Linked DNA regions of Oryzias latipes. The protein of the gene in region 5 binds, or shares a complex with, the protein of the main gene of each other region. Links are inferred from orthologs where the notes say so. Each region holds a gene or a part of one and is shown on either strand. Other genes may lie near its edges.

What was found.
Region 1: smarcc2 (region 5) and phf10 share a complex: the UniProt entries of both Homo sapiens proteins name them as parts of the neural progenitors-specific chromatin remodeling complex. The link is inferred for Oryzias latipes from reciprocal best matches to the Homo sapiens genes SMARCC2 and PHF10.
Region 2: smarcc2 (region 5) and pbrm1 share a complex: the UniProt entries of both Homo sapiens proteins name them as parts of the SWI/SNF-B (PBAF) chromatin remodeling complex. The link is inferred for Oryzias latipes from reciprocal best matches to the Homo sapiens genes SMARCC2 and PBRM1.
Region 3: smarcc2 (region 5) and SWI/SNF-related matrix-associated actin-dependent regulator of chromatin subfamily D member 2 share a complex: the UniProt entries of both Homo sapiens proteins name them as parts of the BAF complex. The link is inferred for Oryzias latipes from reciprocal best matches to the Homo sapiens genes SMARCC2 and SMARCD2.
Region 4: smarcc2 (region 5) and smarcd3 share a complex: the UniProt entries of both Homo sapiens proteins name them as parts of the BAF complex. The link is inferred for Oryzias latipes from reciprocal best matches to the Homo sapiens genes SMARCC2 and SMARCD3.
Region 6: smarcc2 (region 5) and probable global transcription activator SNF2L2 share a complex: the UniProt entries of both Homo sapiens proteins name them as parts of the BAF complex. The link is inferred for Oryzias latipes from reciprocal best matches to the Homo sapiens genes SMARCC2 and SMARCA2.
Region 7: smarcc2 (region 5) and dpf1 share a complex: the UniProt entries of both Homo sapiens proteins name them as parts of the neuron-specific chromatin remodeling complex. The link is inferred for Oryzias latipes from reciprocal best matches to the Homo sapiens genes SMARCC2 and DPF1.

Annotation. Positions count from the first base shown.
Region 1 is NC_019861.2:24,490,012-24,492,881, reverse strand, and holds the end of phf10 (PHD finger protein 10), read left to right. Parts: intron 1-323; coding exon 324-432; intron 433-873; coding exon 874-1,062; intron 1,063-1,202; coding exon 1,203-1,300; 3' UTR 1,301-2,370; downstream 2,371-2,870. Other genes in the region: psmb1 (proteasome subunit beta type-1), read left to right, coding at 2,732-2,832. UniProt on the Homo sapiens protein: Involved in transcription activity regulation by chromatin remodeling. Belongs to the neural progenitors-specific chromatin remodeling complex (npBAF complex) and is required for the proliferation of neural progenitors.
Region 2 is NC_019863.2:2,537,331-2,540,830, forward strand, and holds part of pbrm1 (protein polybromo-1), read left to right. Parts: intron 1-540; coding exon 541-657; intron 658-726; coding exon 727-795; intron 796-875; coding exon 876-974; intron 975-1,052; coding exon 1,053-1,138; intron 1,139-1,225; coding exon 1,226-1,311; intron 1,312-1,414; coding exon 1,415-1,631; intron 1,632-1,898; coding exon 1,899-2,040; intron 2,041-3,186; coding exon 3,187-3,281; intron 3,282-3,361; coding exon 3,362-3,500. UniProt on the Homo sapiens protein: Involved in transcriptional activation and repression of select genes by chromatin remodeling (alteration of DNA-nucleosome topology). Required for the stability of the SWI/SNF chromatin remodeling complex SWI/SNF-B (PBAF).
Region 3 is NC_019877.2:6,918,582-6,922,650, forward strand, and holds the start of SWI/SNF-related matrix-associated actin-dependent regulator of chromatin subfamily D member 2, read right to left. Parts: upstream 2,801-4,069; 5' UTR 2,334-2,800; coding exon 2,187-2,333; intron 128-2,186; coding exon 1-127. UniProt on the Homo sapiens protein: Involved in transcriptional activation and repression of select genes by chromatin remodeling (alteration of DNA-nucleosome topology).
Region 4 is NC_019878.2:21,175,141-21,178,640, reverse strand, and holds part of smarcd3 (SWI/SNF-related matrix-associated actin-dependent regulator of chromatin subfamily D member 3), read right to left. Parts: intron 758-3,500; coding exon 656-757; intron 552-655; coding exon 390-551; intron 73-389; coding exon 1-72. UniProt on the Homo sapiens protein: Involved in transcriptional activation and repression of select genes by chromatin remodeling (alteration of DNA-nucleosome topology).
Region 5 is NC_019863.2:4,304,330-4,308,555, reverse strand, and holds the start of smarcc2 (SWI/SNF complex subunit SMARCC2), read left to right. Parts: upstream 1-1,426; 5' UTR 1,427-1,461; coding exon 1,462-1,572; intron 1,573-2,232; coding exon 2,233-2,352; intron 2,353-2,452; coding exon 2,453-2,538; intron 2,539-2,665; coding exon 2,666-2,747; intron 2,748-3,851; coding exon 3,852-3,944; intron 3,945-4,064; coding exon 4,065-4,134; intron 4,135-4,217; coding exon 4,218-4,226. UniProt on the Homo sapiens protein: Involved in transcriptional activation and repression of select genes by chromatin remodeling (alteration of DNA-nucleosome topology).
Region 6 is NC_019867.2:1,033,582-1,037,081, forward strand, and holds part of probable global transcription activator SNF2L2, read right to left. Parts: intron 3,395-3,500; coding exon 3,328-3,394; intron 3,254-3,327; coding exon 3,143-3,253; intron 1,074-3,142; coding exon 831-1,073; intron 1-830. UniProt on the Homo sapiens protein: ATPase involved in transcriptional activation and repression of select genes by chromatin remodeling (alteration of DNA-nucleosome topology).
Region 7 is NC_019871.2:18,133,786-18,137,849, reverse strand, and holds the start of dpf1 (zinc finger protein neuro-d4), read right to left. Parts: upstream 2,801-4,064; 5' UTR 2,694-2,800; coding exon 2,587-2,693; intron 1-2,586. UniProt on the Homo sapiens protein: May have an important role in developing neurons by participating in regulation of cell survival, possibly as a neurospecific transcription factor. Belongs to the neuron-specific chromatin remodeling complex (nBAF complex).

The DNA.
Region 1 (2,870 bases), on a different chromosome or scaffold from region 5:
GTCCACCTACTTTCCTTGACAGAACTTATACTGAGATCTGGAGTAAAGTATGTTGGTCACTATTTGATTTAGTAAAACATAGAACTCTTGTGCACTGTGGGATTCATGTCTCTAGTATTCTGCAACACTGCAATTTGTTTTTCTTTGACTCAGACTTCCTCTGCTTAATGCCCAGTATTCCTTCTAAACTGCAGAAAAAGGGGGCTTGTTGGTCCAGATGAAGCGCTGTTGCTTCTCGTACCCTTTACTGTATTTAACCCTCTTTCCATGACTCTAGGATGCCCCTGTGTAATGTTTATTATAGCATTATTCTGCCCTTGCAGCCTAAAGTCATTCCCAATGCTATATGTGGCATTTGCCAGAAGGGTAAAGAGTCCAACAAGAAAGGCAGGCCTGAAGCTCTCATTCACTGCTCCCAATGTGATAACAGCGGTAAGTTTACATCCTACATTTTTAAAGGACTTCTCCTCCTTTGGATCGTTTTAATGTATGTTTTGTTTATAAGTTAAACGCTGTCATTTCCAATTTCATAGAATCTACAGCGGCAAAATCATATTTGTGCTGATTTTGTACCTTTTTCTCAAATAAGCAGTTTCTTATCTCTACTTTTTTTAAAGTTGTATACATTATTTTCTTTAATTATTAAACTTTTGAGGATTGTTAGCTGGGAATTTAAATGTTATCCGAATAATAATAATCATAAAATGTGACTAAGGGAGCCCTGTGTACAGCTTTGACCACATTTGCATATCTATCAGTCTGTCCCTGTTGCTCGCCTGCTTGTGTCTGAGCACACAGTGCTCATTTATTTGACCGTGTGTGTCTGCGGCCTCCTGGCTCCTGCACACTTTCACTCGCATCCATAAACTGTAGGTCACCCGTCCTGCTTGGACATGAGCTCTGAGCTGGTGTCCGTGATCCAGACGTATCGTTGGCAGTGCATGGAATGCAAAACGTGCACCGTGTGCCAGCAGCCCCACCACGAGGACGAGATGATGTTCTGTGACAAGTGCGACAGAGGATACCACACTTTTTGCGTTGGCATGAACTCCATACCTACAGGTGAGCTGCTGAGGAGAGTGATGGGTTCGAACCAACGATGTTCAAGCATCGGCACACTAAAAGGGAGAGGGGAAACGCATTTATTTTTTATTATCTCTTTGTTTTCTTTTATTGTTTAATACTTTTTTTTGTTTTTCCAGGTCTTTGGGTGTGTGAAGTTTGCGACCAGGGTTTTACACCCAAGAAGAAAGGAGGGGGCAAAACACCTAAAAAGTCCAAGTCAGCCAAAAAGTTATGATTTAGTCATTTATTTATTCCAAGACTGTTGTTGAAGTAAGATTACAATTAAGCATTCAGTTTGACAAAAGAAAACATAACAATGTAAAATAATTACAAATTCTAGATCTTGTGTCCACACTTTCATTCTTTTATATGACTAAAGCAGGAATTATGATTTAAAATCAACAAATTTTCTTTAAAAAAAAAAAAGCCAAATACTTACTTGCTTGTTTCTCTGTGATGTCGACGTACAAACAGTGTTGTTTTTTTACTATACCATACACCTTTGAGTCAATTTTACTGCAGAAAACCAATAAGTTACCCTGTGGGGTTCCAAGCATTTCTTTGGGAACTTTATTTCAGGTCAGCAAATGGTGCTCTTCATTACGTACTACTGATAGTTAGTTTAAAACAGGGCTTTGGTCGAACAACTTTTTGTACGCTTGTGGGTTTCGTAATGTATGATCATTTTTGTTCAAATTCTGTGAAATTTGCATTAAATAAATGGGTTCTCTGATCCTGTACGCCTATTTTAAGTGAACAAGGAAAAACTATGTGTTCTGTCTGTCTGCTTAAGTTTCTTGGTTTTCGAAGTGAATTTTCTGTGGTTTTTGTTTTTCGTAGTTTTACAAAAAAATCGAACTTAAAAAAAGTACTCTAAGACTGAATCTGTAGGTATTTTTTATATTTCTTTTTTAATTTATTTCTTTTGCATCATCCTGGAATTAATGAGTTACAAAATGAGAATTTCAACTAATGTTTATTCACTGCAGTGTTTTTGGTTTGTTTTTCTTTTTTTCTTCTTTTTTTTTAGAATAAAAGTTTCCTTTAAAAGGCTTTTTGTGTCTTGTGTATTAGATAAAATCACAATTTTGACAATTTAGTGAGGAAATATAGTTGTTTGTGATTTTATGATTTTGTAAAAGCAATGGCCATGTAATTAATATCTATTACACTTCTGGATTCCTATAGCAAATCATATAGTGACATAAGTGTTCTATATAAAAAATGTGATTGTTCTTTGGACCAACTGTTTTGCTTGGTTTCTGTTTTCAAGTCTCAGCTGACAAAATTAAAATATAAATAAATTATCTGTATCAGATTTATCTGACTTTCTTTTAATCAAAAACAAACTTTTCAGAAATGTTTGTGTGTTAATAAATAAGATGCAGTGTACAATACAGTTTGTTACATATATGTACTTGTATATTGTTATATAAAATTAGTCCATTTATTGTATTTTGAAAAATAAATAATCAAACGACTTGTGCAGGCAACATTTTAAATATAGAGCCTGTTCTGATGTTACATCTATGCGCCTGTAGAGGCGCTGTCGCGCACACCATATGTGGTCACTCATTTACCGGCGAAGAAGAGTCTGCCATATTGCAGTGATACAGCGAGTTTGCCCGGCTGAAATCTCCAATCTGTTGGCTATCTTGGTTTAAAAATGCTTTCAGCTCAGAATTTTGGAGAATCTGGAAAGATGAAAGAATACCATTATGCGGGACCCACGGAACATCGGTTTTCACCATACGCCTTCAATGGAGGGTTAGTTTTATTTTGATCATCTTGCATTGCGGTGGTAG
Region 2 (3,500 bases), about 1.8 Mb from region 5:
GGAAAACAAGGGGTTAAAGGGTTTACAACATTCAACCAATTAAACCAAATTAGAAAATGGAAAAGGTAGATATTCTGGGACATGGAGCACTGATTGGATGATGACGTTTGTTTGCCTTTTCAACCTATGTTATTTGTGATGGCGGTATCCACAGGCAGAAGCTTCTGACCACAATCACTGCAAAAGTTCAATCAACCTTTTACCACAGTTCAGGTAAAACATCCTTCTGCTTTCCCTCTTCTTCAAAGCTCAAACATGATCAACCAATCAGTGACATCCCATTGTGTCTGCCTTTTCCAGTTTCTTAGTTTGTTTCCTTATTTGTTTGGATTTCTAAAATGTAGTGCTTTTTCTGATTATTTGTTTTGCTTTTGTACTGTCATTGTGTTCTTTAATATGTTTGAGTGCTGAGTGATTCATTGATCTGATTTGCACTTCGAGGCCTCTGTGTTGTAGTAGAAAATGTCTCCAGTCAAAAGGATGATGAAGCTGATGAACCAAGGCATTTCCATAAATCTGATCCCTTTCATTCTAACTCAGACGACACCTTCCTGCTTAAAGGATGTCCTAGAGCAGCTTCTTGATGCTGTCGTGTCTTATACCGAACCAACGGGACGCCTAGTCAGTGAGCTGTTCCAGAAGCTTCCCTCCAAAATGGTACATGGGACCCCGACAATTCATATGTTAGGAGTCTTTACTCTAATTTGAAGTCTCTCTTTTGTTTAGCAATATCCAGACTATTACGCCGTCATCAAAGAACCGATAGATCTGAAAACCATCGCTCAGAAGATCCAGGTACCGGTTCCAACGGAGCTGTCTGGGTGTGACGAAGTTTTTGCTGTTTTTATCCACATCAAGTAAATTTTTTGTTCTAGTTGGGTCACTACAGGAGTTGTGCTGCCATGGCAAAAGACATAGACTTGTTGGTGAAGAACGCTAAAGCGTACAATGAGCCGGGGTCACAGGTTTTTAAGGTATGTTTCTGAGAATCTTATGTGCTGCATAGTGTCCGTCCGACCTTTCACACGTGTTCCTGGTATTTTGTCTGCTAGGACGCTAACACGATTAAAAAGATTTTTGCACAGAAGAAGTCTGAGCTGGAGCACGGGGAACCTGTCAAATCCAGCATCCGCATCAGGTTTGGACCACAACGACCTCTTTAAACAACGTCGGCGGGAACTTCAGCGAATTTTGGTTTGACCTTTTCTAACGTGTTCTCTGTAAGGAATAGAAAGTCAACTCAAGGGGATCGCCTCTCCGCCATCACCATGGCACTTCAGTATGAGAGTGACGAGGAGGGAATACTATCTGGTACCTTTGCTCCTCTTTCGTAAATGGACTTAGTTTTTCTCAGACATTGATGATGCTTCTTTATTTTGTGAAATCCCGTGTTTATTGTTCCTGCATTTGTCAGGCTCTGTCCACTATGATGAGGGGGAATCTGAAGCGGAGAGCATGACATCAAACATGGACATGAGCAACCCCATCTTCCAGCTTTACGAAGCCGTGCGAGGAGCCAGGAACAGTCAGGGCCAACTGATTTCCGAGCCTTTCCTGCAGCTGCCCTCCAGGAAAGACTATCCTGACTACTACCACCAGATCAGTCAGCCCATCTGCCTGCAACAGATCAAGTATGGCGGAAATAAGTGGAATTAAAAGAATATTTTAATAAGGAACAAATTCAGTGTTGGACAAAAGTTTCTCAAGAAAAATGATGTTGTTCACCGGGAAGTTTGTTTACCTCATGTTTTTGTTGCTTTTAGTTAAAAGTTCTTTTGTTTTCTTTGCATTTCTGCCCGTGAGAAGTATTTTCCCCACACATACTCACCCACTGTAAAGTCCAGTATTTCTGTGCCCTCTCCCCCTTCCCAAATGTGAGAACCCTCAATTCCCCACAGGAGCAAGATGAAGAACAACGAGTATGCGAGCGTGGAGCACGTCGACTCAGATCTGACGTTGATGTTTGAGAACGCCAAACGCTATAATGTTCCTCACTCCTCCATCTACAAGCGTGCGCTCAAACTCCAGCACATTCAGCAGGTCTGGTTTTTCTGCTCCAATCATCTTTTGATCTTTATTCAGTCAGCCACCAACTGTGCAGGTTCTTCCACTTAAAAAGATGAGAGAAGCCTGTACTCTTCATCATGGTTTCCCTCATCTAAAATCTCATTGTCTGATTTTTTTCAAATAATTTATTTGTAAATTATGGTGGAAAATAAGTATTTGGTCAATAACAACAGTACAGCTTTGTTATATACCCTTTGTTGTCAATGACAGCAGTCAAATGTTTTCTGTGAGTCTTGTGTTGTTGGTATTTTGGTCCATTCCTCCATGCAGATCTCCTCTAGAGTAGTGGTGTTTTTGGGTTGTTGCTGGACAACACAGACTTTCTTCTCCCTCCAAAGATTTTCTATGGGGTTGAGATCTGGAGACTGGCTAGGCCACTTCAGGACCTTGAAGTGCTTCTTATGAAGCCACTCCTTCGTTACCCGGGCAACGTGTTTGGGATGGTTGTCATGATGGAAGGAGGTTTTCATTTAAAATTTGACGATACATGGCCCCATTCATTCTTTCCTCAACACAGATCAGTCATCCTGGTCCCTTTGCTGAAAACAGACCCAAAGCATGATGGGTGAGATCTTGCGAGGAGTCTCAGATCGAGATTATCAGTGGTCTTGTATGTCTTCCATTTCTTCACACCAAGCTGCTTACCTGTTGCAGATTCAGTCTTTCCAGCCTGGTGTAGGTCAACATTTTGGTTTCTGGTGTCCTTAGACAGCTCTTTGGTCTTAATCATAGTGGAGTTTGGTGTGTGACTGTCTGAGGTTGTGGACAGGTGTCTTTTCTATAGATAACCAGTTCAAACAGGAGCTTTTAAAACAGGTAACGAGTGGAGGAAAGAGGATCCTCTTACAGAAGAAGTTACAGGTCTGAGAGCCAGAAGTTTTGCTTGTTTGTAGCTGACCAAATTCTTACTTTTCACCATAATTTGCAAATAAATTATTTAAAAGTCAGACAATGTTATTTTGTGTCCTCCATCATGAGCAAAATGCTAAAAGACGATATTAAAAACACCAAAACATCATTTTCATTAGAGTGGGGCTTTAAGAACACTATTTTTTAACTTCCATCAGTTTCTTTGTATTTTTCATGAAGTATAATGGCTGAATCCTGTTATTCGTGTAGCTGAAGAGGAAGGAACTTTTACAGAGAGAGGATGATGATGGTGACAGCATGCTCTCCTCAGCCACGTCTGACACCAGTACTACGAAAAGAAAAAGGTTAATTGCACCCATTTCATTCTCTGAACATTCATTGTGGAAGAGAACTTGGTGTTAATTCTGCTTTGTGTGTTTTCTAGTCATAAGAAGAATACCAAAAAGAATCGCATGAAGGCTCTGGTAGCTGCTGTGACTGAGGCGCGAGAGGCCGGCGTTGGTCGTAGACTGTGTGACCTCTTCATGGTGAAGCCCTCAAAGAAGGACTACCCCGACTATTAC
Region 3 (4,069 bases), on a different chromosome or scaffold from region 5:
AACGCTTTCTTGACGCGTCCATGCCTGGCCGCATGGGAAGGTTACCCCCACCGTAAGAGGGACCGGGCATCTGACTCCCCATTACCCCCATAGGACCCCCCATCCTGCTGGGTGGGATTCCAGGGCGCTGGATGAAAGAAGAACAGTTTGATGAACAAAAGGGAAAAGCAGTTGGCGTGTCGTGTCGTTTGACCCACGTGAGGCTGATCTCTATTGAGTTTGATCCATTCTGTCCATTTCTGGTAGAAACACAAACCTTCAGTCTAACTCAGAGCTGATTTGGATTTTAACATTGTTAAACAAAAGAAAAGTTACTTTGAATATGTCTAAATCTTTCTTATCGATAATTTATTACAATTAAAGCAATCATTTACACTTTTTTACATTTTTGTTTCCCACCTAAATAGCTTCAAAATAAACATAAAAAGAGAAGATTGGGGCTCTTTTCTTAAAATTAACTGTATGGTTTGATGTTAGTTGGATAAAAATAGACTGGACTAATTATGGCTTATTAACTTTTATAACTAAAAACACAATAATTATAGTTTACTAACTAAGAGTTTTCATCAATAATTGGAACAAACTTTTTTAAATATGTCAATCTGAACTACAATTTAACTTTACGAGTAAAGATAAATACTTTTACAATTGAACCTTCATAGAATTTTGTTTAAACAAATAAAAAGATGCATTTCCTGCGCTCTATTAAGCACAGCAATGAGGGCCTTTCGATTCTGCTTTGTTTTTTAGTCACGGCTTCTGCAGACCTTGCAGATATTGAGATGGCCATGAACTCATTTGTAATCAGAGTACACCAAGAGCACACGAGAGCGTGAGTCGGCGAGCCAAAGCTGAGCTGACTTCAGGTCACACCACAGGGAAACGGTTAAGGTTGCGACACGGCCTGGCAAAAGTCTGGACCTCAACCCAAATGAAACACTCCAAGGAAACAAGAGCTGTAACATTTCTTAAAAGCTGAAGCAAAGCTGCAGTGAGAAACGGGCCAAGATTCCAACACAAGGATGTGAGACACAAAAGGAAACATCTGCTTCAAATCCTACCACTAAATTCATACAGAAGATGGAGCATCTTCAGCTTTGCCCCACTTTATTTACAATTTGTTGGCTTATTTTATGGAAGAAAATAATCAGTTTGTATGTGATTGCCAAATGTCCTTGAGAACTCAATTTTGACTTTGAAGACCCATTCCAATGAAAATCATGTTTGTTTGATGTTTTTAACATGTTCTTGGAGGACATACATGAATTAAATGAAGCTTAAAATGGTGTTTTTGAGTGTTTCCTTTATTCAAATCATTGTGAATCAGGCATTTGGCTCAAATCTGTACGTCTGGATGGCCCCGACGTTGCTCGCCATTTTGTTACACCGAAAATATTATGTTGGGGTTGTAAGGAACTGTTGGTGGGCGGAGCTGTTGCCAGTGGAGTAAGCCTGCCACAATTTCCCATCATCCAGGTGTTTACACTCTCTCAACTGTTCCGCCCACAACTCGGACACACGTGTCTAATGAACCACTGCTGCTGTGCAGAAACTATTTCCTAAAAACTGGGATAATCATAATCAAAACTCCACTGGGAAGGTTTTTAAAGCAGATCCAACGAGGATCGAGTGGGACTTTAATATATTTATTCAAAGTTCTTTTACTGTCAAACAATCTTATTTCCTATATGAAAAGAAAATGTGCTTTGAAGACTGGACAGTGAGTAAGTTTGACATTTTATGAACCGTTCACAGAAAAACATACATCAGAACTTTGATGGTTCTAATTTGTAGGATACAATCGGGTCCAAATGAAGCCCAGATGGTGCTGGAACAGGGATGGTATAAGTGGTCTTTGGATAGATGGTGGTGATGATAAACTTCCTTTTGTTTTCTCTAACTGACAGGAGGCCAAGGGCACCCACGTGACCCCGTTCACACTTCAACAGAGTACATTTATTCACAAAGGCCAGAATATTTAAAACCTCTACCCCCAATTAATGTTCTCTGGTGCCACAATGACACGTTAAACCCATTTGACTGATGACGGGAATTTTTTATAACCGTTTTCAATGGCGGAAGTAGTTCCATACCATGACATTTTGACAAGAATTGGCCGCTTTTTCTTGTATTGTAATAGAAATAGTTGGAGGGGAAAAAAGAAGAAGGCAATCATAAAAACAAACCTGGGCAAACTGGGGAATACTTCGGGGATAACCCGTTGGGGGCTGCAGCATTCCGGGCATTCTCATCCCCGTGGGGTGTCCGACATTCATGGGGTTCAAGTTCGGATTCATCGGAGGACCCGTGAACCCCCCTTTCGATGCCATCATCCGGAGCTACAAGTGGTTGAAAGTGCCGCGAAAAACTCCCGACGATTTACGGCCCAATAATAAGCGAGGGAAGCGAGTGTCACTTGAAAATCCAGAAATAAATAAATAAATGAGTTGGAAATAACCGTCGCCGCGTCGGTAGAAGTCTAGCTACACTGACAGGAAGCACGCTGTCAACAAAAAGCTAGCTAACATTAGCTCGGCTTTTAACAGCTCGAGTTCCGGGCTCTAACTGCTGGTTTTCTCAACACGGACGGAGCGGCGACTGTTCTTCGTCACCCCCGCCCCTGCCTGCGTTCCTTAACATGTCCAACTAACTGTCCCTCCGCATTTTAACGGGGAGGCTCACTTAAGACAATAATAACGCCCGATTTAGCAAAAAACTCGGTGTCTTTTAAACGCTTAAATATAAAAATAAATTAAAAAAAAAACGCGAATTTGTCCTGTCGTACACTCCTACATGCAATACTAAGTGGTGCCTTCACTGCCGTCTGAAATCTGAAAGTCAAACTCTTACACACGGTATCCTCGTTTTTTTTTCTCATGAACTTTTTATCGAAAGTTTTATTTTTTATTACATTCTTATAAAGTACATGCTCATAAAAGAAGCTGCAAACAAAACAAAAGTGATGGAAAGATATCACGGACTGACAAATAAACCATATCTCAAGTAATAATTTACATATAATTTGTCATGTTTAAACAAAAATAATACTTTAAATAGTTTTTAAATACATCTAAGGCAAAATAAATCAGGATTTATATTTATATTATATTATGAGATGAATGAAAACAAATTTCCTTAAGTACGCACAACAGCACCCTCTACAGGATATTAAGAGAATACGACTCAGAAAAAACATGGCCAATCATCTTGCTCTTTGGACTTGTCTTCTCTAAGGTTTATGAAAGTTCTCGCCAGAATTGCTTTCTTCCCCTTTACAATGGCATAAAATTATTATTTTTAAATTTTAGTATAGGGATTTGGAATTTCTTTAAATGAGAGTGTTAAACACATTTCTTAGGGCAAGTCAGCAATACTGACCCCAGCTAAATAACTTTTTTTCATATGTATGGCATATTAAACTAGAAATTTAATACTGTAGTCTGTATTTTATTTATATTTTTTTACAATTGACATCAGCCCTGTATAATATCAGTTTGTCCTTGGAAAATAATTAAATACATTTACCAAAAAAATTAAATAAATAAAAAAACTTAAATGCCCTCAGGGATTTAAGATGACAGTTTTTTCTGCAAAGTTTTTTTTGCAACATCTTATGGAAACATGTTTTTGTAGAATTTTACAAGATTTCTTTTTCAGCATTTTATTTAATATGAAAATTTGAGGTTTATTTGTATCTGTATGCAGAGATTACTGTCTTTTGTGAACAAAAGGCAGCTGGTTCTTCGGGAGGGTCAATTAATGAAACTTTTCAGTAGCATGAAACAAAAAATAAAAAGGTCTTTCAGTCCACCCACTCATAAACAGCTGCCCTTGAACACCCCATACAAAACAGACAAAGCAATAGAAAAGCATAACACTTTCCTACCAGATCTTATTCATAAAGTGATTCTATATTTAGGATTTTTTGCAAATAAATGATTTTACAATAATTGGAATTCATGGGTTTGAGAATCCTGTCCAGCGTTCAAAAACGCTGAAGGCCAAGTCGCAGTGATGTCACCAGAGCGAGGAAGTGTAAAGCTGGGTTCCAGCGACACTCAAACCAAGG
Region 4 (3,500 bases), on a different chromosome or scaffold from region 5:
AAGAGTTTGAATCACAGGCTGATAACCGGCTGGGTGGTCTCTTCTCTGTAGAGGATGCAGCATCCCAGATTTCTGAGAAGTTAAAAAAAAAAGGACTCTTAGCCCTGTTTTCATCCATCCAGACCGAGTTCTTCCTCCTGGTGGTCTCCATCCGCTTTAGTGCGTTTCTGTGCTCATTAATAATCATGAATGTTTTTTTACTGCAGGAAAACCACCAAACAGCCATTTCTGCAGATCCTCTAAATCATTTATCCATAACGGATGATAGCAGAGCCAAAAAACGTTCAGCTTTTTGCATATTTGTCTTGAGGAATATCAGTTAAATTCATGAAAAACAATTAAAAAAGGGTCAAACTGGTGGGATCTTGTTGCATTATGACGTCACGCACCTGCTGGAAGTACTTGTCACAGTTGATGTACTCCTTATCGTGGGAGTCCTGCAGCTTGTTGGTCTTCACGTACTGCCAGAGCGCCTGGATGATGCAGGAGCGGGTCTGCGTGTGAATGCCCAGCAGGCGAGCCAGGCGAGGGTCCAGCTTAAACTGGGGGGGCTGTGGAGGCCAGGTCATCACGTTACTCGGCTTTTCACGCACGTTCAAGCCTTCGGCGCGGCGCCCTCAGACATGCAGGCGGCGTGGAGTCTGCGGCCCCTCACCTGGTAGTCCAGCATCAGCAGCAGCGTGCAGCGCACGCTCACGTCGCCCGGCCGCTTCACCTGGAAGCCGTCCGTCTCCTGGGTGGTGGGCGTGCGGTGCCACTGAAACGGCAGGTAGGCGACCAGCAGGTGAGCTGGAGTGGAGCGTTTGGCGGTTTTTGTCATGAAGGTTGCCAGCAGACATTTGCATTAAAGTGATTACAACTAATGGATTCATTACGAACAGGATAAACTCTGTTACGTTTCTTCAAAGTTCCACTTGAATCCTTTTTGGATCTATTCTCAAACCACCCCCAAAGGTCTTTTGATTACCATTATTAGCAAAATCAACAAACGTGTGGTTTTCAAGGTCATAGTTTCTGCAGAGCGGCAGGAGGAGTTCATTAGAAGTTCATCTCTGAGTTGTGGAGTAAAATACCATTTTCACTAAAAAAAATGAAGACTTAAATGTTGGAGATTAGAAAGAAGTTAGAAAATATAGGCAGATCACCTCTTATTAACTATTTAGATCAATGTTTTTCAACCAAAGTTCACTTTTTCCTAAGGTATCCCACCAACCAAAAGCGTACATAAATGTATTAATATACAGTCATTCCTATTAAAGAATCTCAAATATAGTAAATAAACAAAAAGGAAAAAGTCGGAATAAAATAGAGCTGATATCCCGGCCATGATAAATCTTTTTTCCACCAATTAGGAGAAATTCATTCATTTTTAACGGATTTAAATGATCCAACAGCTCTCGCAATGCGGAAGAAGAAAAATTACAAACTGAGACGAATCGAGCAGAAAATCCTAACAGAATGTCAGATGTTAAACATAAATATTTTAGATTTATCATAATGTAAAAGGACTGACTTGGAAGTTTAGGAGAGTAAACGATGATCAGATCAGAAAGCAATTTAAAATGAAATATTTTTATACATTTTTAAGAGCAGAATAACAAAAACAACAACAAAAAAACCATGACGTTGGAAAATTTAAGCACCAAAAAGAGCAATATTGCTTTACATTTAGGGTGTTTTTCACAGAAATACACACAAAATGTAGATTAACAGACGTGGTTAAGCCTGAGCCAGAAACGGGAGGATTAAGAGGAAGAAAGAACTTCTGTAGGACAAATTCAAGCAACATCAGACGAGTTCCTTTTGGCTGAATATTTATTTAACCAGGAAGTCCCTGTTTTTCAAACGAGAGCTGGCTGGGAGGCTTTGGCGCACACCCACAAACTATAAAATGAAACTAATTGAAAATCCAATTAAGAATATCATGTGCCAAGCGTTTACCATCAATCCAAATTAAAATTCTTTAATTATTTGACAAGAATAAAAGAATTATTGCAACATTTATCCTCAATAAAGGATTTTTTACTTATTTTAATTGAATTTGAAGATTAAATTTCAAAGATATCCTAATATTTCCATCAGAGAAACTTGGAATTATCCCATTTTGGGTAAGGTTAAAAGTTTATAACAAAGACAAAAACCTTGATTTATGTAGGGAATATATTTAAATATATATTATTTAAATATTAGATATTTTTTGTATGTATGCATGCGGGATCGTCGGCCAAATCTTTGTTTATCTGACAAAGAGGGGAGAAAATGATGAAAAAGAACATTTTAATAAAGCTCTGAAGATGAGTCTATTCAGAGGAGGGGAGGGGGGGACCCGGCTCTTCAGCCTATAGGGGGGGGCCTGCTGATTATTTGTATCTCAAGGTGGAAACAACATTCTTTGGACTGAGTCATTGAGAGAGCAGCACCCGAGCGGCCGGCTGAAAAGAGGAACCTTGAGAAGCCGTCACGTTCGCTCTGAAACTCCTCCAGTGGATTTTTTTTAAACAAAAAGCAGATTTCTGCGGTGATGCGGAGTGAAGGGCAGCCGCTGGTTGTTTCTAAAAGACTCACGCTTAAACAGCCTTGTATGCAGCCGTTCGCTCCGGTGTTAATGGAAAAAAAGGTCTGCCTTCATCAGGGGGAGGGGTCGGTCCGGCCTCCACGGCGGTAACTGGGGAGGTTTGGACGAAACTTGATAAAAATAATGTTTCCAGAAAGGAAAAGGTCGTGGAACGTGACGGCGCTGCGGGGAAGTCCAGCTCGCTCGAAGACGCCGCACAGAAAAGCTTTTGATTCTTATCATTTTATTTATTTTGCCACAAATTTGATTTAAAGATCAAATCTGTTCCAACATCTGATCTGTCTGAAAGTTTAAGAATAATTTATAAAACTCTTTCAGGTATTTGTTTTTAAGTGTTGTTTATTTATTTTAATCCACTGTGATTGATAATAAAAATGTTTTTTCCCCCCCTGGAGAACCAAAGAACAATGTTCGTATGACTCTTTAGAGCTTTATTTTTTGGTTCGCTCATTTTGAGTAGCAGCAATTAAAAGCGGCCAATAAATAAAAGAATAAAATCAAAACATGTAAAAATGTAAAAGTTTAAAATGTCTTTAAATAAGACAAAAGCTGAAAGCTTAGAAAGGGTGCATCACCACTGTTTGATGTCTTTCAGGCAGGAAGACCAAATCCGTTCAAATTTTCAAAATAAAAGACTGTCGACCTGTTCAGGGCGTACCCCGCCTCTGTCCAACTGTAGCAAGGACAGGCTCCAGCAACCCTGTGACCTTAAATGGGGAACATGCAGCAAAAAAATTAAAATATTACCGTAGATTACAAATAGGTTTGCAAAAAGACGATGTAAGTTTACGTTTCCTGGTAAATTTTATTGCCCTGAAAGCAAAACAAAGAAAAGCACATTGAGTTTTAATGCTTAGAGGCAAGAGGATTAAGCAACGCCTGACTAAATCTGAATAAACCCGCTTATGGGATTGAAATAAAATAA
Region 5 (4,226 bases):
TTGTTAAAACATCAATCATGTTAACATCACTCAATACTTTTCTTATAAGGTTTAGCTGAGCTGTAAGTATTGTCTGTCGTTTCAAAGAAAAACAATCTTTGGAACTTAAGCATTTTTGGAGGTACTGTTTTTTAAGGAAACACTGCCACAGGACACTTACTGCTTTCATATAACCGATCATTTAAGTCCTGATTTATTTTTCTGTTAGTACAGAGCAAAACATTTCACAGACACATCTGTTAGATGTCTTAATTGTGGCTATTTCAATGGATATGCATCATATTGACATCAATGCCTAGAGGCCTATCAGACCTTTTAGCAGACGACTTTCACACAGCTAATCATGTCACGGTCCCAAAATATAAACCAGCTGCCATTTTTCTTGATAAATAGGGTAATTATATAACATATAAAATAATACAAAAGGTGCATTAATGGTGGTTTTGTGTTCTTTAGAGGACGTCTTTCAAACTGTCAAGAATGCACCAGAGGACAGTATTCGTAAAGATGCATACAACAAGATTTTCAGTAAAAAAAGAACAATCTGAATGTGTCTAAAAATGGGATTACTTTGGTGAAAGTGACTGTTCAGACTATACTTGTTCAAGCATATATACTGTGGTTAGCAGAGGTTACATGGGTAGAAGCTCAGCCTGGTTTCTAGTTTGATTCCAAAGGACGTGCAAGCATTCAAAGCTACTGGTCAGTCATCACACATTGAGCTGGGGCCCTATGATTTCACAGGCGTTTGACACTGGTGACCCAATTTCAAAAGGTAACCCCTGCACCCACAACCCATCTATGACGTATCAGCCAGGCTTCCCATCTGATCCAGATGCTTTCTGGACAAGAGAGGCCCTTCATCAGTCCCAGGACGACCAAAGGTGGTTTAACATGTCACAGCTTGAAGGTTTCTTCATCTTCATCTCTGCCATTAGTCACCTTCCTCGCTGCATTCTGCACAGTGTCCTGGAAGATGTCAAATGACCAATTTTCCGACCTCGCTTGAGATATAAAGATGTTTTTAAAAGAGATATGAAGGACTTCCAGATAGATCCTGCTACTTGGACTGCTACTGAAGCGACAGAGGGAGATGGGACACCACCTTAAAGAGAGGTATCAAAGTTGTTGTATCAGACAGATTCTAGAAATTCTACTATGGAAAAACGTTTAATTTATTTTGGAAAACCCTGAGTCTGGGGGATCTGCTTCATAGGTTGGGAAGACTTAGTCTAAAGTAGGTATGGATGACCAACGCAAAGGAGAAATGCTTTTATAAACAATACACTGTTTTTGTTTTTTAACAATGGAAATGTACAAGGAAGGAAGCCAACATTCTCTACACCATTCCGCCACCTGCTGGATGCGGGCATTCATTACAGGACACTTGTTCAAGCAGCTGCAGGGACTAACTGCGTCCACTAGGAGGCGCGCAACACCGACAGTTGTCTGCAGGCAAAGATGGCGGTGCGGAAGAAAGACGGCGGCCCGAATGTTAAATATTTCGAAGCATCTGACACCGTTTCTCAGTTTGATAATGTCCGCGTCTGGTTGGGAAAGAATTACAAAAAGGTACTGTGGGCTTGTTTTTGTGCGCATGCTCACAGAGTTCTCCTTTTCACCCTCAAATGTGGGCACTTACCCAGTGGGCAGAGGCAGTGACAAAGAGAGGAGGGAGGGTGCTGCTGCTGCTGCTGCTGCCGCTCAGCGTCCAGCTGTTTGGGATACAAAAGGATGCTGAGCAAACAGCTGCAGCACAAGCGCGCGCTTCAGGCGTTCTGCGGATACACGTGACTGCAGATAAACTGCCACAAAGGCAGCGCGCGACTCTTACTCGGTGGACGGATTTGTTTTCTATAAAGAAAATACATGACTTTAGCCTGCTAGCTGGCTAGTTAGCTGCTCGGCTAACGGTGAAGCAGCGCAGATCCAGATGTTGGCTCAGAGGCACGTCTGTCTTGAATAACAGCTGGCGGGCCTCAACTAGGAGCTCTGACTTGACGAAGACCTCTCAAGTACTAATCATGAAGTAGACTGTTATTATTATTATTATTTTTACAAATATTTGAATGATTGATGTTTTTAATTAGAGCTCTTTTTCATGGGTGAAAATAAAAGCACTGACATTTCCAGAGTTTACGTGAATGCGGCATATCAGCCATAGAACTATGTCTACCAGAAATGCTGTGTTTTAGTGTTTGGTGTATTCCTAACTTTGCGTTTTGTGTCCAGTACATCCAGGCTGAGCCTCCCACCAACAAGTCTCTGTCCAGCCTGGTGGTCCAGCTGCTGCAGTTCCAAGAGGAGGTGTTTGGCAGACATGTCAGCAACCCCCCACTCACCAAGCTGCCGGTATTTGCTTCTCAATACTCATCATCTTCCTCAATGTAATGATGCTTCACTTTTTGTCCTCTGTAACCTATTATTTGAAGCATTTTCCCTCTTTCTGCAGATGAAATGTTTTCTGGACTTTAAGTCTGGGGGGGCTCTGTGTCACATCCTGGCTGCAGCCTACAAGTTCAAAAGTGATCAAGGATGGTAGGGGCTTCTTTCTAGCGGATGTTTTGAGGATTAGACCTGTTAATCCAGTGAAGAATCAAAGGTCTCAACTGGATTTTGGCCGGGTTTGAGTTTCGTGTGTAACTCCAGTCTAATTTCCTGGTAGGCGCAGGTTTGACTTCCAGAATCCATCGAGGATGGACCGAAACGTTGAGATGTTTATGACGATTGAAAAATCTCTGGTGCAGGTGAGTTTGTTTCAGCAATCGTTCTTCATGAATAGTTACCTTCTACACAACTTGCAAAAGTGTTTATTTTCTAATATCTTCAAATCTCTAAATTATTATTATTATTATTAAAAACTGTCAATTATTTACCTTTTACAATTAGGTTTAATTTAGAATTAAGGATTTGATTCAGTTTGAATGAAACTATTTATGTGTATTTATATTCAGAAAAACGATCCACGTTTATTGTTTTTTATGCAAGTCTGAATTAATGATAAAAAAAACATTGAGAGATTTCATGTTTTTGTTTGGTGGCTTCAGAATTTTTGAATATTTGCAGAACCAGTTTGTTTATTCTTTAAAGTTCCACTCCAATGAAAATTGTGTTGTAGTTGTTTTTTTACATGTTCTTGTGGCATTTTTCTGATGATGGAGCACATAGATAAAGAAAATTGAGATTAAAATTGAATATTTCTTTACTCCAATATTTGTAAAATACAAAAAAAAAAAAAGCAGTTCGAAAAAGATCTTGTTTGTGACGTAGAAAATATGCTGGCTGGGTCAAAATCTTCCTGCTTTGCTCCATTCTGATGCATCCACCTGCAGACAAATAGACCCATGAACGTCTTTGTTCTCCTCGCCTGAGCTGGAATCTGGATCAAAACTGGATGGCTGGATAGCTCTGATGTTGCTCACCATTTTTGTTGCACTGATAATGTTAGGTTTGGCTATAAGGGGCTGAAAGCTAGCAGGAGAGAGTGTAAACAAAGGGATGATGGGAAGTAGAGGCAGGCTTACTCCCTACAACTCAGATGTAAATTTTTAATGAACTCCTGCCGCTCTGCTGAAACTATGTCCTAAAAAAATGACACTTGTTTTTAGATTTTGGCCAAAAGGTGCATCATCATAATTAGAAGACCGCTGGGAACGCTTTGAAAATACATCAGAAGATGATCGGAGCAGGATTTTAATGACAAAATCTTTGTGATGTGACTTTCGTTGTCCAACCCAAGGACTTCAGGGCTCGTGCAGTGTCTTTATTTGCAGAAGCAGAGATGTTATGCTGAGAGGAAAACAGCATTTACATTGTAATGGTCATGTGTTTTTTAAATGTACTCCTTCCAGAACCACTGTCTGTCACGACCAGTCATCTACCTGAGCTCTGACATCGATCCAAAGCTGCTGGGGAAACTGAAAGACATCATCAAAAGGCATCAGGTGTGTTTGTCATGTGAATGTTATGCCATACACCTCAAGTAGGTGTTGCTTCATTTTTAGGGCTCCTATGGGTTTAAACCTGTGAATACATATGATTTACACTCTTTTCCTGATTTGCAGGGCTCAGTGGCGGAGGACAAATCAAACAGCTCCCATATTGTGGTTCCCATCCCTGCCAGTCTAGAAGAAGGTGAGGACTTGGAACTGGACTGCTGGATGGATGTTTCTTCTTCAACATGCTATTCTAACTCCAACCCCTTTTTTATCTTTCAGAGGAATGGG
Region 6 (3,500 bases), on a different chromosome or scaffold from region 5:
AAATCGATAAAATGTTCAAATGTTGGACCGAGTTTCCATTTTCAAATCTTTAGTCTTATGTTCTGCAGTTTATCAGGACCTGAACACAATAGAGAGAAAATAGACACACTTGATGTTTGTGTGTGCGTAACTCTGGATTTGCAGCTCATATAGTACATGTTGTGCATATTTGTGCAATTGATTATTGACACACTCAAATATCAACAATGTACAAATACGAAATACAATTTACGCGCAACTAGAAAAGAACAGCCCCTTCAAACTAACCGGGAATTCAAAAAACGGCTCCTAGGCGTACAAATCTACGCACCCATCGCATCAGACACGCCGACAAAAGCAGGGAGCCACCAGTGCTGGAGGCCTTCAGATGTGTGCCTAGATGATGTGTTCAAATGCTGCTAGAATGCTGGGTCATCAGAGTTTTCTGATCTGCTGTTTGAACTTAGATTGTGGAAAAGCCGTTTGAAAGTTTGAAGTTGGCGTCATTTCACCTTGTGTGTGTGTAAATTGTATTTCCTATTCGACTGTACATGTGAATACACAAGAGCAAGTACACACTGGTACACATCGATGGTATTGCATGTGGTACACACACAAATGTGCAGTGAGACTAGTGTGTCTCCATAGTGCATGAGGGGATAGTGATACTTGCTACTTGCGGTCATCACTGTGGTCTTTCATGCACACCCAGCAGCCAATCAGAATGGCGTATTCAGCCGGACCGTGGTGTAAGTGTTTTTAACAGACGTTTGAGAGTCACACCACCAGGAAAGGGGAGCGCTGACAGTACAAAAACTGGTCAAGGAAACGGATGAAGACGGTGTTTTCACCCTCTCTCCCGTCATGGCGAACGGAGCGTTGAACCACTGCTCGAAGGTGCTGCAGCTCTTGAAGATGGTGGGCAGCAGGAAGTTGAGCAGAGCCCACAGCTCGGGCAGCTTGTTCTGCAGCGGCGTGCCGGTGAGGAGGAGGCGGCGGGGGGCCACGTAGTGGGTGTTCAGCACCTGAGTCAGCTTACAGTGATGGTTCTTCATGCGGTGACCTTCATCCACGATCATGTACTTCCAACGGATCTGCAAAGGGAAAAAACGGTCGTTTCATCTAAAGGAAGGAATGTTTCACGTCCGTGTTTGGTTTTTGACCGTTTTGACACATTTATCCTTCAGACGTCAGTGCAGACTTTAGTTTTAGCGGTAAATGGAACCAGAAAAAACATCTTTTTGTGTTCACAGCATTACCATATAATTATAATAATAAATGGCTTAAACTATTACTGAGGATGGTTAAAGTGATTAAAGTGATAAATACTTCACTTCCCCCCAAAAAATGATTTTTTTCTAATGAAAAATAATCTGCACATCTTTTTAACTTTTGATACTTGATCTGCAAACACTATGAAGATTTCTGAAACAGTATTATGTCCATTTTTTCTGAAATAGTGTTATTTTTAATCATAGTCAGAATTTTTCTAATGAACATAAGTTGCATATATTTTAGATAACTGATCTGCATTTGCTTCTATGTTGATTTCTAAAATAGAGTTATGTCTATTTTAAGTCATTCATCTTTGTCATGTGATTTCTTGATACTTAAGGATTCTTAATGTATTCTTTGGTAAGGCATAGATGTCTGATAGACGTCATGAACCGGATAATGATAGTTAATGTAATCAAATGGTTACAGTGGAACAGGGTTGGATTCTAGAAGTTCACTTCCTTCCTCTCTCTTTAAGCAACATTTGATTGAACGTCTAATTATCCTACGTTTAATACGTCTTTGTATGAATGGACACCTGAATTTTATGCATTATTGTTGCTTTGATTGCTTGAAATAAACCACTTCAAATCAAATCAAATGTAACCCCTCCCTGTTTATGGTTAACCCTTCATTTTAAATTATGACCCCCCCCCCCCTTAAACACCTTTTATCCACTGCATTTTCTCAAGTTCTGGCTGTGGATCAAACATGTTTGTGCTGCAGCTCCAGAGCGGTTCCCCCTGCTGCTCATGTCTCTCCACATGACATCAGATTACATTAGAACTGTGTTTTCCCTCTAGCAGCACATCTCTGATGTGGATCTTTGTGAGAGCCCCCCAGCAGCCAACAGCTCCGTCCCGTCTGAGGGCCAATCCAAGCTCTTCTGAGAGAAAAGCTGCTTGTGATTTTCACGTCAAGGCCGTGTCTGACGGCCAGCACGTCGTGATCCCTGCGTGATAAACCCAACTCAAGTGTTTCTGCCGCTGTCATTCCTGGATGTGCAGATGTACATGGAGGGTTTTGAACGACGGGTCTTTATGCCAATTCGGTTTTGAGGTATCCAGAATTTTTGGAAACATAGTTTATACGACTCTGTCGATTCTTTTAAAAGTCTACTGAAGACATTTATTTAAAAATGCTTTTAGCTGACTGTTTTTTTGTTAATTCTATTCAAAGTTTATTTTCTTTCATTTAGTTTTACATTTAATTGATTGTTAATGTGTTTTTACTGTACTGTATGGTATTGTTTTATTGTTCAGCGCTTTGTGATTTTACCTGGGAAAGGCGCCATATAAATAAAACGTACTTACTAAAAAACATACTACATACAATTACTATGTAAATCTGTGTGACTTTTGCGAGATGCATGTGTTTCTTTCCACGTGTGTCTAACAGACTTTTCACGCATGAACCACCGATGTCTAACTTTTACATCGCGTATACGGCGCACACATCACGTCTAGATGACGTCATTGACGGACGTATTTTTACGCTTACGTGTTCTTTGCGTGGTGTATTTGTACATCTTCCGTGTTTTTAACCTGATTCATTCGTGACACTTCTGTGAAAATTACACTGAAACCTTTCCCCCCTTTTTTTCCACGTCTATTCACCTGTGACCAATTTACATCGGAGCAATATGCGCCAAACGTGCATGATGGCTGCGTGACATTCTTCAGATGAGTGACATCAAGGCTTCACTCATGTGAAGAATGATATGCTTCCATTTTGGGTCAGTAAACTGTAAAACCTGTTGACTGATATTTATTCAAACATCTCAAATCAAAGCGGTGGATTTAAAAGCCGCTGGACTTCCTGAAACTTTCAGAAAACTGAAACATCCCAAAGCTGTTGGTGTACAGAATATAACTTTGATCTCCTTCACCTTGGCCAGGATGTGCTTGTCCTTAATGATGTATTCATAGGTGGTCAGCAGGACGTTAAACTTCCCGCTGCGAAGCTGAGGAACGAGCCCCCGGCGCAGAGCGGGAGTTCCCTGGAATGAGGAGGGGGCTGGAGTCAGTGAAAAGCACGGCGTCAGAGCCTCGGCTGCAAAAATCTTTTTTTTACCTTGTAAGCAATTTTGACGACAGAAGGAGCCCATTTGTCGAGTTCATAGACCCAGTTTGACAAAGTCCTGGAACCAGAACCAACACAAATCATTAGACAGTGGGGAGGGGGGGGGGGGGGGTCACCCGGGATTAAAAGCAGTTTCTGAAATGTGAAAAGGAAAGTTTAAGAAT
Region 7 (4,064 bases), on a different chromosome or scaffold from region 5:
GCTGTTTGCACACAGAGCCAGTTATTACATGGAACTCATTTAGCTGGGCTCAGTCAGGCAGGGCAGAAATATCATTAGACAGGACCTGCCACAACTGCCTCCAACACCACAGCACACACTGATCTGCATCTCCCCCTTTAACCAGCTCTCTGCTGAAGGAGATGCCTCATCCACTGCAGCTTTGACTCAAACAGTCTCCTGTGTGACTCCAAAGGACACATTCACCACTTTTAACACCGACATTTCAGGACAAACGCTCAAAAGTATGGGAGGTTCACATTGTCTTTTAAGCTAAATAAGTATTTGCAACTCCACAAATCCATTTCAGTGGCTTGCATTTAACTGAAAATAAATTCCTCTTGAGCAATCCTAAAATTCTATATTATATATAATATTTATATATAAATATTGAAGGGAAATGTGATCAAATGCAAAGAAAGCTCCCCTCACTGCTGCTCGCACTGCATTTGAAAACACGGTGCTGCCATTGATTCAAAATGCAGAAGTCCTGTGGAAAATGGGCAGAGGAGAAGGGAAAGCAAGGCAAAGAGGAAATGGTTAAACAAAGGGATGGACTGAAACAAGTGATGGATTGAGAAAGTGGCAAAGAAGGAGGGAGACGAGGAGGAAGACTGGGCAGAGGGGGTGATGGGAGGACAGAGAGGAAATCACAGGAAAAAAGGATAGAGAGTAAGAGAGATTAAATGATTCTCTAATCCAGCAGAGAGAGGCCGACTGGATGAAGCTGGTTTGCTGATATGCTTTTGCACACACATGAAACCCTCCACTGTACGTCCACACACGTCCAGCCGAGCATGAGCGGGCTGCACAGCTTGGCTGGATCCTGGGCATCAATGGGAATTAACAAACACGGAATTAATTGCAATTTACTGCTGAGACTCAGCTAGCTTTAAAGACATTTTGGGACACAACAGGCTTTGTTTCTGCCTCCGGCACGCAGCCAGCCCCCCCTGTTAGGGCTGACTTTGAACCAAGTCTTTGGTTCTTTGGCTCGATTCACAGAATGGGGGCTCTAATTTACAAGTCTCCATAACAAGTTTGTTTGCAAACATGCTAATTTCAAGAGTGTATATCAGAGCTCATTTGGTGCTTCAACCAGACCATGATAAAGTCATCTAGAGGAAAGACCTCTAAACCTGATGCAGACTTTCAGCTTTTTAAGGGTTCTGCACTGAAGGTCCAAACAGACACTTTGTCATCCCTCATTTGGACAGTCTGTGTTTTCAACACTAGGATGTAGTTCATTATCCTCTGGCCCAGCTGCCTTCTGACTTTTTTCCTCTCATTTTTCTCCTGTTGCCTCCCAGTTCTGCTGCAGACTCCTTGCAAATCAGTCAAATGAATCCCGACATGGTTTCACTGAAAGTCTCTGGGCGCAACCTGGCCACACGGTTGCTTAGCTTGGGCATGCAATGGAGGAAGAGTTGAAAGTGGAGAAGAGAAAACAGAGGAGAGCCACATCCTGAAGATTCTCCATCCCAACGTCACCTGCCCGCCTCAAAATAAACATTTAACAGTCAAATAACAGCGACTGTGTGGATGGAAATGACCCACCTGACGATTCACTCATGATTTGAACAACAAATGGTGAAATACCATCACAGCCATTCAGAGCAGTTTCTTAATTGGCAGTTCCGTCCACGCTCCAAACTGTTCGTTGATCTGGGTTTGCGTGAAATGTCGCCGGCGTGTGCGCGCCCCGGCGCGGTCTGTGCGCTCAGGTGAAGCAGCCGAGGCGCGCAGGTCTCCAGACTTTTCTTTGTTTCAAACTGCTACAGTTGGAGCGCTGTGGTGCCGGCGGGTTGGTGCCTGCGCCTTTATGCGTTATGCGGGGGAGATTAGTGCCAGCACCCGCTGACAGCCGCGCGGTGGCTACCTCTGTCTTTGGCCGGGAGCATCAGCGCGCGCCGCTGCATTCCTCCAGAAAAAGACACCCCCCCCCCCCCTCCTTCCGAATAAAAACATGTGCAAAACGGACCGTTAACGGACAAACTTTAGGGAGAAGGGGCCGCTTTAAACACGCCACCGGCTGATAATCATCTCACTCTAGGGTACAAAGCGCCGGCATCCCATTCAGATGGAGTCAGCGTGGGAGACGCAGTGTATTTACCTCCGCCTCTCCATCTCCCACAGGTCCAGTAGTTCGGCTGCAGCCGGAAAGCCGCTCCGAGCTCCGTCCTGCCTCTAAAGACGCGCGCTAACAGGTTCTGGAGGGCCATGTTAGCTCGACTCAGCCCCCAGCCTGGATCTGACCGATCTTTTGGGTTCATACACCGGCAAGGGACATGCCGGGTCACCCAGAGCTCCCCCAGCATTCCTCCATACGCGCGCGCGCTGCTGCTGGCTCGGGTACGGGATGTGAGGAACCGCAGCGCATACTCAGTGACAAAAAAAAGGACACCGACACGAAATCCCGCAAAATAGGCTAACTTTTCATTGGCATCATAATCTCGGTCTCCGCCGTTTACATCAAGCGTGTGGTGGAGCAGGATCAGAATTAGAACATAAGGAGATGACGCTGACAGCATGCTCGGATGTTAGGAGCGGAGAATGAACGGTACTCACGATTTGAGGGGGTTCTGCACCGCTGTGGCCATTTTGATATAGTGTGATAGAATGCAACACCGCAGAGCCGGTGGTTTTCTACATGTAATGTAGCATTTCAATTTCATTCATTCTCTGGGGCTGCGGCTTCAGCGCACAGCCAATGGGAGGCGGGAGCGCACCGTGGCTGCTTGTGGGAACTGTAGTTTTGGCGCACGGCGGCGCGGAGGACGGACAACAGATGATGACTACAAATACCGGCGGGGGTAGGGGGTTCCAGTGGTTCAGCGACCCGCCTCGTACTTGAAAGGTAAGCAGAGCCGTCCCTGTCCTAATGTATAGAAAAAAAGTCCAGTTGAGCCTGGTGGAGCTTCGGGATGGAGATCAGCCTCACATGTGAGGACAGAGGTCGGGACTACTGATCCCACACAGGAATCTCGAACAAAAAATAGTCTTAAAGGATTCAAACAAAACTGCATTTGGATCATTTTTTGCCTTGTGCACAGGAGGGGGTAGACATCACAGCCTGAAACACTGGAAAATCATAAAACAAGTGTGCATGATAACTTTCAGATGTGGTTGGATGCACAGAGCCGTGTCTCAAAGCTCCGAGCACCTTTAATTATTCATTAATAGATTGAGAGTGGGCATGTAATTGATTCTTTCAGACATTTGTCTGTCGTTGCCTCCTCGCCTGAGAAGTGGGAACCCCTCCAATTCGTGCTGTTCCTGTCGTCTGCTGCAGGGATGGACGGAGGGAGGCAGGAGGACGAGGGGTAGGAGCAAGGAGGCCTGGATTTGTCTTTACAGTTTGGCAGTGGAGCCACAGTAGTGGAGCCACCACTCTGAATCCAGTGACATGTGATATTTATAGATCTGTGCTAACAAATATTTAATGAACATTAGCAAGCAGCTCGAAAAGGCCCCACTGCTCAAACCAAACGCCCTGCGACAGTTTTTGTGTTATTTGTGAGGAAGATTTTCAAACAAAGGGAATGTTTTGAAGGACAATAACAAATACATCAATACTGTCCTAAATTAAACTTTATTTTATAAAAATAAACGTATTGGAAACATGAAATAATTCACAGATTTTTTTTTTTTTTTTTTTGAGTGAGGAAATCATGCCGTGATCGCTGATTTCATGAATGGCAAAGCTGCCTTTTACACTTTGACCACAGGGTGGTGCTAAAGCACTCTATCGCACAGAATGTGGGGGTGACGTCGAAGTTTACGTCCTCCTTCGCCCCGCCCTCCGTACGCACGCTCTGTTGTTGTGATTACAAGTCATGTTGAAGTTTCGTTTCTTCTCCCGCGTCCCGATTATGACATAAACACCTGAGCAGCGATGTCTGAGGTCCTGATGAAGGAAATTGAGAGAGTTTCCATGAAGCCGGAAGAGGGTCCCGGCGGCGCGCGGAGTTTCCTGTTGGTGGACGAACAGGAAAACCTGCAGGTAAAGTTAGCCGTCAACAGTTAGCCGCTAAGCTAACGGAGAA